Anolis sagrei: one gene and its partner. The protein of the gene in region 1 interacts with the protein of each later gene in a pairwise test. Links are inferred from orthologs where the notes say so. Each region holds a gene or a part of one and is shown on either strand. Other genes may lie near its edges.

The links.
Region 2: the proteins of MAFG (region 1) and BACH2 interact in binary tests that used the Homo sapiens proteins (3 or more experiments, as listed by UniProt). The link is inferred for Anolis sagrei from reciprocal best matches to the Homo sapiens genes MAFG and BACH2.

Annotation. Positions count from the first base shown.
Region 1 is NC_090022.1:113,769,881-113,777,386, reverse strand, and holds the start of MAFG (transcription factor MafG), read left to right. Parts: upstream 1-4,502; 5' UTR 4,503-4,571; coding exon 4,572-4,587; intron 4,588-7,506. UniProt on the Homo sapiens protein: Since they lack a putative transactivation domain, the small Mafs behave as transcriptional repressors when they dimerize among themselves.
Region 2 is NC_090021.1:104,356,359-104,363,716, forward strand, and holds the start of BACH2 (transcription regulator protein BACH2), read left to right. Parts: upstream 1-4,351; 5' UTR 4,352-5,079; intron 5,080-7,358. UniProt on the Homo sapiens protein: Transcriptional regulator that acts as a repressor or activator. Binds to Maf recognition elements (MARE). Plays an important role in coordinating transcription activation and repression by MAFK.

The DNA.
Region 1 (7,506 bases):
GTTTTATCCACATGCCAGAGTCACTTCTTAGTGGCAACAAGTTATTCAGTCAGCCTTCCCTAACCACAGATTGCACATCCACAGTTTCAGCCATTAATGGCTTCGAGTTACATATACTTTGATTTTGCCATTTTATACAAGCAGCCCTGTTTTATTACACTACAGTATTTTATATAATGGGACCTGGGCATCCATAGATTTTTGTCTCCATGGGGTCCACTGTACAGGTGTGGGGAAATCTCTCATTCACTTCAGAAGTGTGTTTCTTTGTGCATACTACTTACTTACTTTTACTTAGGCAATCCCTCGTTGGCCGAGTAGGATAGTCTTCCAGGATCAGAATTCTTGTGAGACTGTAGGTGGCTGTGGAGCCCTGTTCTTGATCTGCATCTTCTCTCGCAGTGAAGGCATTGGTTTCCAAGTGGAAGGCGGTCCCGGTCGGGGCTGGCTTGACGACCTTCCTCTTGGCACGTTTCTCTCTTTCACCCTCCATTCGTGCCTCTTCAAATTCTGCAGCACTGCTGGTCACAGCTGACTTCCAGCTGGAGCGCTCAAGGGCCAGGGCTTCCCAGTTCTCAGTGTCTATGCCAGAGATTTTAAGGTTGGCTTTGAGCCCATCTTTAAATCACTTTTCCTGTCCACCTTTGTGTATAATGAAGAATGCAAACTCTTAATTGGCCTTTATATGTTGAGCCTTATATTTTGGGGTATTTGTGTGTACATGTCCAAATGCTTCAAAGCCAATGCAGTTTCCATTTTGTCGCCAAAGGGCTTAAGCAGCCAAGTAGCAGCAAGGGGTCTGCCTAATCCATAACCTACTGCCAGAGCTCAGGCTAGGAGCCCAAACTGCATTAATTCTACAATATAAATGCTAATTGATGCATCAAATTAATGTGATTTTAACCCCACTTTAACTGCCATGGCTCAATTATATGAAGTCCTGGGAGTTATAGTTTTATATGGCCTTTAGTTATAGTTTTATATGGCCAAACACCCCTTTTGCCTCAGCCTTCTCCCAAAAGGAGACTGGTGTTCAACCTGACCAGTACGAAGCTGAAGAGGTAATAGGGGAAATGCAACCCAAAATAGGTAAGCAAGTAGTTTAGGAATACCTGGCTACTCTAAATGAATTCAAGTCTCCGGGGACAGATGAACTATGTCCAAGGGTATTGTAAGAACTAGCAGAAGTCATTTCAGAACCACGGGCAATAATCTTTGAGAATTCTTGGAGAACTGGAGAAATGCAGACTGGAGGAGGGCAAATATTGTCCCTATCTTCAAGAAGGGACAAAAAGAGGATTTAAACAATTACCGTCCAGTCAGCCTGACATCAATACCAGGAAAGAGTCTGGAGCAGATTATTAAGGAAGAAGCCTACAATCACTTAGAAAGGAATGCTGTAATTAATAAAAACAACAACATGGATTTCTCAAAAACCAGTCATGTCAGACTAATCTTATCTCGTTTTTCAATAGAGTTACAATCTTGGTAGATACTGGGAATGCTGTGGATGTATTATATCTTGATTTCAGTAAGGCCTTCGTCAAATTCTGCTATGAACTTCATACAAGCAAACAAATCAAATGTGGGCTAGGCAATACTACTACTAGGTGGATTTGTAATTGGTTAAGTGAGTGAACCCAAAGAGTGCTCCCCAATGGTTCCTCTTCATCCTGGAAAGAAGTGACTAGTGGAGTGCCGTAGGGTACGGTCCTGGGCCCAGTACTGTTCAATATAGTCATTAATGACTTGGATGAAGGTTTAGAGGGCGTGCTTATCAAGTTTGCAGATGACAACAAATTAGGAGGGATAGCTAATACTCCAGAGGACACGATCAGAATTCAAAATGACTTTAACAGATTAGAGAGAAGGGTCAAAACTAACAAAATGAATTTCAACAAGGACAAATGTAAGATACTACACTTGGGCAGAAAAAAATGAAATGCAACAATACAAAATGTGAGAAAGATCTTGGAGTCTTCATAGACAACAAGTTGGACATGAGCCAACAGTGTAATCAGCATCTTAAAAAGCCAATGGGATTCTGGGCTGCATCAACAGGAGTTTAGTGTCTAGACTGAGGGAAGTCACTGTGCCTTTGTATTCAGCTTTAGTCAGACCTCATCTGGAAGACTCTGTCCAATGCTGGACACCACAGTTCAAAAGAGAAGCTGGAAGGTGTCCAGAGGAGGGCGACTAAAACTAAAGGCCTAGAGACCATGAATCCTTAAAGAACTGGGTATGTTTAGCCTGCAGAAGAGAAGATTGAGAGGAGACACAATGGCCATGTATAAATATGTAAAAGGTTGTCATTTTTATAATGTTTTATTGTTCTGGTTATTGTTAAATGTTTTTAATTGTGTTACCTTGTAATCTTTGTCTATGCTGGGCTTGGTCCCCATGTAAGCTGCCCTGAGTCCCTTCGGGGAGATGGTGGCAGGATATAAGAATAAAAATATTATTATTTGATACATAACAAGATAAGTACACAGCAAACAAGTTCACTATGCTGGCCTTTATATTTGATCACATGCCAGACACTTCCCAAATGTCTAGGACTGTGTGATGTAACGGCGAATAATGCATGCCAATCTGAGTAGGGTGGCCTTTTGCAGCTGACAGAAGGTAATTTTGTCAGCGCAGATTGTTTTTTAATGCAGGCCAAGGTCTTTAGGCACTGCACCCAGTGTACTGATCACCACTGAGACCACCTTTACTGGCTTGTGCCAGAGTCTTTGCAGTTTTATCTTTTAATCCTCTAATAATAATAATAATAATAATAATACAAGAAAGAGGGAGTAGGTAATAATAATAATACTTTTACTTTACTTAGGTGATCCCTCGTAGTCCGAGGATGATGGTCCTCCAAGAGTGGTATCCTGGGGATAATAATAATAATAATAATAATAATAATAAATATTATTATTACAAGGAAGAGGGAGCAGGCTTGTTTTCTGCTGCCCTGGAAACCAGTATGTGGAGCAACTGGTTTATATGACAGGAGAGAAGATCCCACCTGAACATTAGGAAGAACTTCCTGAGCGTAAGAGCTGTTCAGCAGTGGAACTCTGTGCCCCGGAGTGTGGTGGAGGCTTCATCCTTGGAGGTTTTTTAAATAGAGGCTGGGTGGCTATCTGTCGGGGGTGCTTTGAATGCAATTGGGGATTGGACTGGATGGCCCACGAGGTCTCTTCCAACTCTATGATTCTATGAAACTTGAAAAACATCATATGCCAGGACCACTGTGAATGGTGTGGGGAGGCTGGCTGGCCACCTGTCGGGGCTGCTTTGACTGTGCTGTCCCTGCGAGGGCGACTGGGGTTGGGGCTGGGCGGCCCCTGCACGCGGCGCTTGCCCAACTCTATGATTCCCGGAGCGAGTCTTTACATCCATCCATCCCTACCTCTATCCATCCCTCCCCTGGGCGGCTGCACCGACTGGCTTCATGAATGGAGGCACGTGACCCAAACATCACGTGACGCGTCCGTGAGCAGCGGTGGCGGCGGCGGGCCCCGGACTCTCGGTCCCTCTGAGCGGCGTGGCGGCCTCCCCGTCCCCGCCCCGGCCCGGCCCTCCCCTTCCCCGGCGGCACCGAGCGAGCGAGCGGAGGGTGAGCGAGGGAGAGAGAGAGGCCGGGGCCCCCTCCCCTCCTCCCGGCCTTTGAAGGGAAAGACGGAGGGAGCCTGCCTGCCTGCCTGCGTGTGTGTGTGTGTGTGTGTGCGTGGAGGAAGAAAGAGGCAGCGGGGCAGGAGAGGCCGCGCGCGCGGTGTGTGCCCTGTGCGCGCGTGCTGGGGAGGGGGCTCCTTCCCTCCTTCGCCATGTAGTCTTGCGTGGAGTTTCCCTCCTGGGTCCGTGTGCTTCCGGGAAGGCCACCCTTGCATCCCCCCCCCCCCACCTTTTCCTTTCCCTTTCCCGCGGGTTTCCAGGTGTGGGCCCAGGTGAGCGGGAGGCGGCCTCTCCTTCCTCCTCCTGCTCCTGCTGCTGCTGCTGCTGCGCCTCGCCTTGTCTCTGACAGGTGGGTGGGCTTCCCTTGTCTCCCCCTCCCTCTGCCTCTGCCTTTCTTTCCTTTTCCTCGCGGCGTGGGAGAAGCCTGCCCTGGTTTGTTTTCTCCCCCTCCAGCTTCTCCTTGCTAGAAATGCTCCCCCGTTTCCTCCCGGATCTCTTTTGTTGTTGAGTTGCGGCGGGGAGGAAAAAGTAGTTGACCCTCCCCTTCCCCAGCCAGTCCTTGGGTGATCGTTGTTGTTGTTATTATTCGAGAGTGTGTGCCCGCTCCTTCCCTTCCTTTCCTTGGGGCAGAGGAGGGGAGAGGCTGCCTGCAGGCTGGCCGTCTCCTCCTTCTCCCTCTCTCCCTCTCCCTCTCCCTTGTGCAGCCATGTCTGGCAGAGTGGAAGGGCTTGTGGTGCTGACTCATCAGGTGTCTGTGGGGGGGGGGGGAGGCAGGGGGAGCAGCCTGTGCCTGTGAGTGAGGATTTGAGGGGAGGGCATGAGGATCAAGGGGAGGGGGCTCTCTCACCCCCTTGCACCACCTCCCGCCTTTGAGCCTTGCTGGGTGACATTGCTGACTCATCAACATGAGGTCACCACTAGGTAAATGCTGCATATACACATACACAAAAAGGAAGGGGGTCTGGCTGTAGTTTGGGGGAGGGGGCTGCCATAGGTCAGCTGCAGAAGAGACCTGACCTGCTGATTCATCTCCTGGCAGAGAAGAGTGCCAAGTTTGGGTGGGAAAAGGGGAGCACCTGAGATTCCCTTTCCCCCCCCTTTGCTTTGGCTGCATTGAGTGTGTTGGGAGAAGCGCAGCCTGGCAGGACAGAAGGGTGCCCATGACGATGACCAAGCGGAGAAGGGGTATTTGGCAGAACTTTTGGCAAGAGATCCTTTTCTGAAAACTTGTGGGTGCTTAAGGTGGGTCAGGCACACATTGGGTTGTTTTTGACAGCAGCCTATCCTCCGCTGTCTTTTTTACTGGGAACAGAGACTCTGAGCCTTTCCCAAGGAGTGGGAATCATGCCTTTTTATGTCTCTGTCCGTACGGTAGTTACTCCTGTCTTGTATCATTCTGTTGATGTTGTCAAATGCTGTCGCTAACATAGTCATTCTGTGCTGCCATCTGTAGCAGACATTATTGTTTTATATACTTTCACCTGGACAGTTTTACGGGCCATTTTGGGCCAGGCAGTTTACATGTTGCCCTAAGCACCTCGTCTCCATGGTTCTTCTGTTTTTATTGGCTTTGGTCCTGAAGAAAAAGGACAGCTTTATGGGAAGGACTACTTCTGTCTCTGCTGTTAGACAAGGGCCCTGTGAAAGAGGTTGGTATTGTGTCACACTGAAATGGCAGGGAGGGCTTTCATCTAGAGATTTGTAGGATGGAGCACATCTGTGCAACAAGTGCATGTTGTCCTCTACTGAGGGACCTTCCACAGAGCCATATAACACAGAGTATCAAGGCAGACACCCCCCAATATCTGCTTGGAACGGGTTTATCTGAGGGACCTTCCACACAGCCAAGTAACCCAGAATAGCAAGGTAGAAAATCCCAATATCTGCTCTGAATTGGGTCATCCAAGTCCATCCTGCCATATATTCCAGCTCAAAGCAGATAATGTGGAATTTTATTCAGCTGTGTGGAAGGGACCTGCATCCCTAGTGGGACATTTCCCATAGCAAACCTGGCTGGAGCCTGTCATCGTCACCTGCAGCCACGACTCCGGAGGGCAGCCTGTCCTCTGCCAGTTGGTGGGTGGACAGAATGGTCAGTGTCTATCTTGTGCTCCAGATGTGTTTGCATGGGATGTTTTCTGGTAAAAGCAGCTAGCCATCTTGGTTTAATATGCTTCTGACCCAGGCATGGGCAAACTTCGGCTCTCCAGGTGTTTTGGACTTCAACTCCCAGAAATCCCAGCCAACTTACCGGCTGTCATGAATTGTGGGAGTTGAAGTCCAACACATCTGGAAGGCCGAAGTTTGTCCATGCCTGTCCCAACCTATGGATTTAAAACAGTAAGTTAGGAGGGCTCTGGAAAGTTGCCTGATTTAGACTGCAGAGTAGGTGAAACTTGGTATTCCTATAACAGATCTGTGTCATTTGCATATCTATTCCTGTCTTGAAAATTGATTTTTAAAAAATATTATAGGGGGCATCATAAACAGGGATAAATTGAGTCAAGATAGTTAGGAGGCAGACTTGATTTAAAAACAAAACAACCTACCTACAACATTGCATTTCTTGGAGGAAGCATTGGGTAGTGTTGTACCCTTTACTGCATGTTGGGATTGTGTGGTATAGAGATCATACTGCCGGTCTTGAAGGGGTGATGTGCAAAAGTCTTCCAATTTTTGTATCTAAAATACTGCAATGTGGACAGTTTTCCCTCTGTTTAGATAAGTGAAATAACGTGAGGTATTTATATATTTTATTTATTGTGTCAGAAGCAAATTGAGAATACATTTATAATGTATAAAATGCCACAAACAAAGTTAAAAGCTTGGCATTATGCTAGATTTCCTTTGACCAGAAGCTGGCCACTTGGAGTGCCTCTGGTGTGGCTGTAAGAAGGTCCTCCATTGTGCATGTGGCAGGGCTCAGGCTGCACTGTAGTAAGTGGTCTGTGGTTTGCTCTTCTCCCCACTTGCATGTCATGGACTCTACTTTGTAGCCCAATTTCTTAAGGTTGGCTCCACATCTCGTGTTGCCATAAGGTGTTTATGACAAATGGGAAACAAAATTGATGTGTCAGGGCTTGAAGCAAGAATTCAAAGAAACAGGGAAATGAATGAAGTTCTATTTCATTTTGATTGTATGCTTAGCTTAGTGATGTTAAGTAATGAGGCTGGCATCTCAGTCTAAGGTCATGTAGGAACAACTAATTTAGGTCCCCATCCCACCAGTTCTGCTGACTAAGAGGCACGCTCACAGCAAAAGCAATGGTGAAGCACTTAGTATATAAATACACTGTACAGGGGAGTCATGTCTTCTTGGAGGGGATAAGATTTTCTGGTGACCATACAGCTCTGAAAGTCTTACTGGATATCATTGAGTTCATATTCCTTTCCCAGGTTAGAACTCTTGACAAAGGGATCACTATATTTCTGAAGGATAATTTGGAAGCTCAGTTTGATACCTTCCTTTAAATGGATGTCAGTGGCTATGTGCTTTTAAAGAAATACAGGGTTATGTTAGGGAGACTTTTTGTCCTACACCTGTTGGGAAGCCTCCCACTGTGGGCTGTCATCCAGCTCCTGGTCCCCCCTTGCTCCCGTCCTGCCGCCCTCTTTATCCCTTACAGCTGGGCCTCCGGTGATGGGCTGTCTTTACTGCTGGAATGGATGACGTCACCATGTTTACACTCGTTTGATGGCACTGCTCTGTGAACCAGGAATGTTGAGAATGGGGCCTGTGTTGAATCATGCACTCTCTGTCAGCTCTGTTGTGAGCGAAGAATTGGCGGTGCTTGTGCTGAGTGCAGGCCTTTTGAGTCCTGGCGAAATGTGTTGAGGCTG
Region 2 (7,358 bases), on another chromosome or scaffold:
GAAGAACTTTGTTCCTTCCAAATTTTCAAAAGTTCAGTAGTCTGGAACCAAATAAATGTTTTAGATATGATCCTATGCTTGATGTTCTGTTGTTATTGTATGCCTCCAAGTCAAAGCCAATTTACAGAGATCCTATGTTGGGTTTTCTTAACCATATTTATTCAGAGGAGGTTTACTTGCCATTTCCTTCTTCTAAGGCTGAGTGTGCGCGCAATTTGTGCTTCTGTGGCAGAGGTAAAATTCTTGGTCTTCTAGGTCCTAGTCCAGCACTCTAACAATATACTTCTGGCTTCAAGTATGTTGGATAAGGGATTCTCAAAACATATTTAGTTTAAAGGGAATAACATGTATTTTCTTCCAAAAATCTTTCACAACAGGGCATTAAAAAACAGACAACCCTACTTCTCAAAATTATCTATCAAAGCTACATTGTATTTACAAGGTAAGAAGTGACTGATTCAAACCTACTTAATTGGTGGTATTAGTTTCCTAAATCACGGCTAAGCCAATTTAACCCCTGCAGCAGGACATAACTGTTGTTGTCAATGTGTCATTTGCAATTGTGTCCCTTGCAATGATGACCAGACAGGGAGGGAAGGGAATGCCGAGGCCAGGCACTGTGTTATTTCATAGGGCAGATTGTAAAGGAAATGATCCCATACATACACATACACCGAAAATGGTGGTCCCAACTACAGTGCCAAATTATGCAGTTTGAAACCATACAGTCTCATTTGAGTAGAAAGCCTCTTTTCCCAAGAGGAAAGGATTCTGCCTATCTGGGGGTCCTTCTTCACAGCCCTATATCCCAGAATATCAAGGTAGAAAATCCCACATTATCTGAGTGTGGACTCAGATAACCCAGTTCAAAGCAGATATTGTGGGATTTTCCGCCTTGATATTCTGGGATATAGGGCTGTGTGGAAGGGCCCTGAGTTGATGCTGCCATATCATTGACTTTTTGAAAATTCCCAAATTGATTTAGAATCTTTTGACAAATAAAACAATTGTAAGCAAGGCTTTCTAAGCTCTCCTTGCTTTATAGAATAAGAATTTAGCGGCAATTTTGGATCAGTCATTGCTCCCATTGATTTCAGTGCACAGGATTTTTAGTTGTATGTGTGGAACTGATATAGTTTCACTGAGGCCCCTTCTACACTGCCATGTAAAATCCAGATTATCTGCTTTGAACTGGATTATCTGGCAGCATAACATATATAATTCGGTTCAAAGAAGATAATGTGAATTATCTGCTTTGATAGTCTGGATTATATGGCAATGTAGAAGAGGCCTTAGTCACTTAGGATTGTCTATACAAGATGCATCTTTTTCTCCATACTTCCATCATTTGTCCTATTGAAAAATAACACCATATCACACTACTTTTGCCCCTGGGTTATAAATGTCATTTCCTAATAGGTTCTATCATAAAAACATGGAAATAATTATTAAACTTCAAAAACTTTGTTTCTGTGGGACATCCTGCAGCACATTTTGCTGTTGTTTTTCAATTAATATCTTATTGAGTCTCGATCAATTCAACAGTTTGTGACAGCCACAAAAATGAAGTTTCTGGAGTATAATGACTACTTTCAAAGTAAGGACCACACAATTAAATAGGAAATAACATTTTTAAACTGTTATTGAGCAATTTAGGGCAGTTATTGAGCAATTTAAGGCAGATAATGAGATCCGGAATGCAAAAACCGAGTCCGTGCCTGGCGAGGCTTAAAGCTAAAACCCAAAGCTCTCAATCAAAGAAGTCTCACCTCTTGAAGCAGAAGCCACTGAGGTACGTTATTTGACCCGGTCAGAAAGGATGACAGCCAGTGGTAAACCGCTCCAAGAAGCTGACCTGCTTTGCAAGCACAAAACATGCATTTTTATATAGTGCAGTCTTTTGTTTTTCATGCACCCATCCAGCAGGGGCGGGCTTTGCACTGACTGGAGGAGCCAGCCTTGACGTCACAAACAGCTGGGGGGGGGGGGTTCCCTTCCATGTGGAGAGGCAGCCAATTAGAGAGTGTTCCCCACTTCCAATGCAGATTCCTGCTGTCCAATGGCTGACAGGGGGCTGAGTGAGCAGTGGAACAAAAGGAGTTATAGTTTTATGTATGGATTACTATGTCTTGAGACAAACAAAGAGGGACCCTCGAGTCCCATGGGTTTGATTGTCCCTATAATGGTCCTATGAGTCCTCAACGAATAAGGCTTGACATCAATATCCTGGCTTGACATCAATATCAGAACAGAACAGTTTTGAAATTTTGCTACATAGTTCATTGTCATCTGGAGTTTCATGTAGCCATGCAGTCTGTGAATGTATCCCCATGGACAGACAGCTCATATAGTGTATTTTTTACATTGTTGTTATAGTAATTCTAGACTAGGAAGTTTAGTAAAAACTAAAACACTCGTTGCCGTGGTGCGATTCATGCTTTTTTCATATTATTCTCCTCTAGGCATTTGGTTTGAATCAGTGATTGATTAGTTATCATTACCTCGCTGAGCTACGGTGGTGTAATGGGTTAAACCCTTGTGTCGGCTGGACTGCTGACCTGAAGGTTGCCAGTCCGAATCTGTGAAATGAGGTGAGCTCCTGTCTGTCAGCTCTAGCTTGTGGGGATATGAGAGAAGCTCCCAGCAAGATAGTAACATATTTGGGCATCCCTTGGACAACATCTCTGTAGACGGTCAATTCTCTCACACCAGAAGGGACTTGCACTATGTTCTCAAGTCGCTACTGATTTTTTTTAAAACCTAATTTGCAATTTGCAAACCTTTCTTTAAAAAATAACATATTTTAGTGGATAGCAATGGGGCTGTTATGGGATGCCTCCTCTCCCTTTAAAGGACTTGATGCGATCCACGGCCTCACCATTACTACACTGCTGCAAAGAGAGCGAGTGGTTTCATGAAACCCTCTTATTGTGCTGAGGCTTATTAAATATGGTTTTCTGTGGGCGAACAGATGGCGACTACTGGATGGTATATGTCCTGCATCGGAAACTAGAGCTGATGTGGCCTATTCAATACAATTCGCTGCCAGAACAAAAATATGGTCCGCAGCCTTACCATTAATACACCGTTGCCTCAAAACCACATGGCAACAAGAGCAACTGGTCTTACGAAACCCTCATATAGTGCCAAGGCAATGGGGATGTGAGGAGGGGAGAGGCTGACTACCCACAAAAGATTACTACCACATCAGCTGTACATTATTAAATATATTTTTCTGCGTGTGAGCAGATGGCAACTACTGGATGGCATATGTTCTGTATCAGAAACTAGAGCTAATGTGGTCAATCCAATGCAATTTTCTGGATCGGCACCCCAAACAATTGACCAAAAACTGATTCGTAACTTACTTGTTGGGAGGAGAGCAATGACCAATCTGGATAAAATAGTGAAGAGTAGAGACATCACACTGGCAATGAAGATCTGCATAGTTAAAGCAATGGTATTCCCCATAGTCACCTATGGATGTAAGGGCTGGACCATAGGGAAGGCTGAGTGAAGGAAGAGAGATGCTTTTGAACTGTGGTGCTGGGGGAAAGTTTTGAGAGTGCCTTGGACCGCCAGAACATCCAACCAGTCCATACTCCAGGAAATACAGCCTGACTGTTCACTGGAGGGAAGGATAGTAGAGGAAAAGTACTTTGGCCACATGATGAGAAGACAGGAAAGCTTAGAGAAGACAATGATGCTTGGAAAAATGGAAGGAAAAGAAAGAAGGGCCAACCAAGGGTAAGATGGATGGATGGGATCCTTGAAATGACTGGACTGACCTTGAAGGAGCTGGGGGTGGCCACGGCTGACAGGGAGCTCTGGCGTGGGCTGGTCCATGAGGTCAGGAAGAGTCGGAAGAGACTGAACGAATGAACAACAAACCCATTTGGTACTAATGTTTGAGAGTGGTCCCTGGTAAAAAAAAAGGTTGGGAACCACTGCTTTAGAACTTTCCAGGCGGGAGGGCAACAAGACTACAATCCCCAGTATACCACGCGAACGAAATAAGAAGCAGAAGTTGGATGGGAGAGAGAGAGAGAGAGAGAGAGAGAGAGAGAAGGAGAAGCGCGGGAGGCAGCGTGGAATTGCGAGAGAGCGCCTTCTTCTTCTGCGCATGCGTCAGAAAAGCCCCCTTCGGCGGCGGTGACGGCGGCAACGTCAGCGTAGGAGGAGCCGCGATTCTGAGAGGCGTGGGCGCTACGCCGTTTGCGCAGCGTGGTTGTGAATGTGAATGGGTGGGAGTATCGCCGTCGAGAGAGAGAGAGAGAGAACGCGCGCGAGAGGAGAGAGAGAGAGAGGCTGCCCTCTTCTTCTTCTTCTTCTTCTGCTACGTCCGTACGTAAGGCAGGCGCGCGCCTGTGTTTGTGTGAGCGAGAGTGAGTGTGCGCGCGCGCGGTTGTGGCGGCGGCGGCGGGAGGAGGATGATGTCAGCCTTCGAATGTCAACAATGTAGCGATTGAAGGGAGTAGGCGGCGTTCCATTGGGAAGAAGGAGAAGGAGAAGGAGGAGGAGGAGGAGGAGGAGGAGAGCGCGAGCCACGGAGACCGGGAAGGAAGGAAGGAAGGAAGGAAAGAAGGAAGGAGGGAAGCGCGAGGCAGGCAAAGCAGCAGCAGCAGCAACAACAAGAACAGCCTTTGCCTTGTGCAGCAGACAAGCCCCTTTTCCCCGCGTAGCAAGCAAGCAACCAGCGGGTGGCTTCTTTTCATCACCCCCCTCCCTCCCCTTCCTCTCTTTTTTCTATCTATTTCTGCTGCTGCTTCCATCTCCTCTTCCTTTTCCCCGCGCCCTCCTTATTTGAGAATATATATATATATTTCTCAAACTGTCCCTTTTTTCCACCTCTTTTTAAGTCTTGGCTTCGTGGACACAGCTTCTGCAATTTTTTTTTTATTTTTGGCCATTTTTTAAAAAAAAAATCTTTTAAAAATATTTGTGACGCGCGTCTTCTTCAGATGCAAATTTATTTTTCATTTCCCGACCTCAGCAACAACAAACCACCACCAGGAGCCTCGTTTTCCCCTCCCCTCTCTTTGGAAAGTTGCAAGGAAGGAAAGAAGGAAGGAAGGAAAGGTGAGCCTCTTCTCCTTTCCTACTTTTGAATGGAAGTTGGAAGAAAGGTTTGGGGAAACAATTGCTATTCAGAACGTTCTTATTATTGGGATGCTGTGAGTTTTTCAGGCTGTATGGCCATGTTCCAGAAGCATTCTCTCCTGACGTTTCGCCTGCATCTTTGGCAGGCATTCACAGACGTTGTGAGGTCTGTTGGAAACTAGGAAAATTGGGTTTAAATATTTGTGAAAGGTCCAGGGTGTCAGAGGCAAGTGTGAATGTTGCAATTGGCAACCTTGAATAGCATTGAATGGCCTTGCAGCTTCAAAGCCTGGCTGTTTCCTGTCTGGGGGAATCCTTTGTTGGGAGGTGATAACTGGGCCTGATTGTCTGCTTGGGGCAAGTGTGAATGTTGCAATTGGCAACTTTGATTAGCATTGAATGGCCTTGCAGCTTCAAAGCCTGGCTACTTTCTGTCTGGGGGAATCCTTTGTTGGGAGGTGATAACTGGCTCGAATTGTTTCAGTGTTTTAAGGTGGCCAATTGCAACATCCACACCTACCTTCAACAGACAAGAGTTCTTTCTCCCATCATGGACACTCTACAGATATGTAAACCCCATTTTCCTAGTTTCCAACAACCCACAACCTCTGAGGATGCCTGCCATAGATGCAGGTGAAACGTCAGGAGAGAATGCTTCTAGAACATGGCCTGGAAAACTTACAGCAACCCAGTGATTCCAGTCATGAAAGCCTTTGACAATGCATTGAACATCTCTACAGAAAGAAACTGTTGTTGTTATTATTGTTGTTGTTATCATCATCATCATCATCACTACTGCTACTATTGATAATGTTTTGCCTGTGTGTCAAAGGAGGGGAGTGGGAGGAAGTCTCTAGGTGGGCTGCTTGGACTGAGATTGTTGTGAGAATATATATATATTTCTTTGGTTGGTATTTGGGGGAGGAGCGAAAAAGGGGTGTGTGAGAGTGAGTGAGTGTGTCTTTCTGTGGAGTGGGTCCTTTTTAATTGCATTAAAGCTTCCGTCCCAACCGCACACACTAAAAGGGGACAAGGATAGCTGGAGAAGGAGGGACAGAGTAAGGCTATCACTGGAGGGGTGTGGGGGTGGGCAATAGCTTTGGGATTTGGGTTGTCTCCTTCTCATTTAACCACTTGGGAGAAATTTGAAGAAGAATTAAAAACAGAGATGGAAGGATTAACCGCAGGTTAAAAATACCCCCGACCTTTTCACACCTCTGTTTCTTTTTGTCTTCACCCCCCCCCCATTTTGTACCTTTGGTTCAGTCCAGTTTCCCCCTCTGTTTGGCCATAGAATCTTGAGTCCTCCCTTGGAAGGAAGGGGCAGGAAAGGCTTAGGTGAGCTCAAGACAAGTTCAGAGACAGAGAGAAAGAAAGAGGAAAGTATGGCCCCTTCCAGACCGCTGTATAAAATCCCACATTGAGCTGGACTATATGGCAGTGTGGACTAAGGGCCCTTCCACACAGCCATATAACCCAGAATATCAAGGGAGAAAATCCCACAGTATCTGCTTTGAACTGGGTTATCTGAGTCCACAATGCTATATATCCCATTTCAAACCAGATCATGTGGGATTTTATTCAGCTGTGTGGAAGGGGCCTCAGATACCCCACTTCAAAGCAGATATTCTGCCTTGATATTCTGGGTTATATGGCTGTATGGAAGGGCACTTTATGGGCAGGGCAGGAAATGCTACCATTTATTTTCTTTTTATATTGTATTATATTAATGTATATTTTATTATTACCTCAATATAATGTGATTTATTATTTTATTGTTTTATTATCTATTGTATCTGGCACCAAGTAGTGTCAGAACAATAGTAAAGGTAATATTTTATTATTTTATATTTCTTTCTGTTGCAGCTAGTAGTGTACTAATCGTACTTACTTAGGCGATCCCTCGTTGTTCAGGTAGGATAGTCTTCCAGGGTAATAATAATAATCGTAATAGAAATACTAAATGTCTTCGATTCTAAGAGGCCATCGGTTATAAGATTCATGCTCATTTCAATACCACCAAGAGAAAAAAGATATATGTATATATACACATACACACATATACACACACACAAATCTACCCACACTAGAGGGCTTGCAAGGGGCCGTGGTGGTGCAGCAGGTTAAACCCATGAGCTGTGGAACTTACTGACTGAAAGGTCGGTGGTTCAAATCCACAGTGGGGTGAGCTCCCGGTTTTAGTCCCAGCTTTTGCCAACCTAGCAGTTCAAATGTGAGCAGATCAATAGGTACCACTC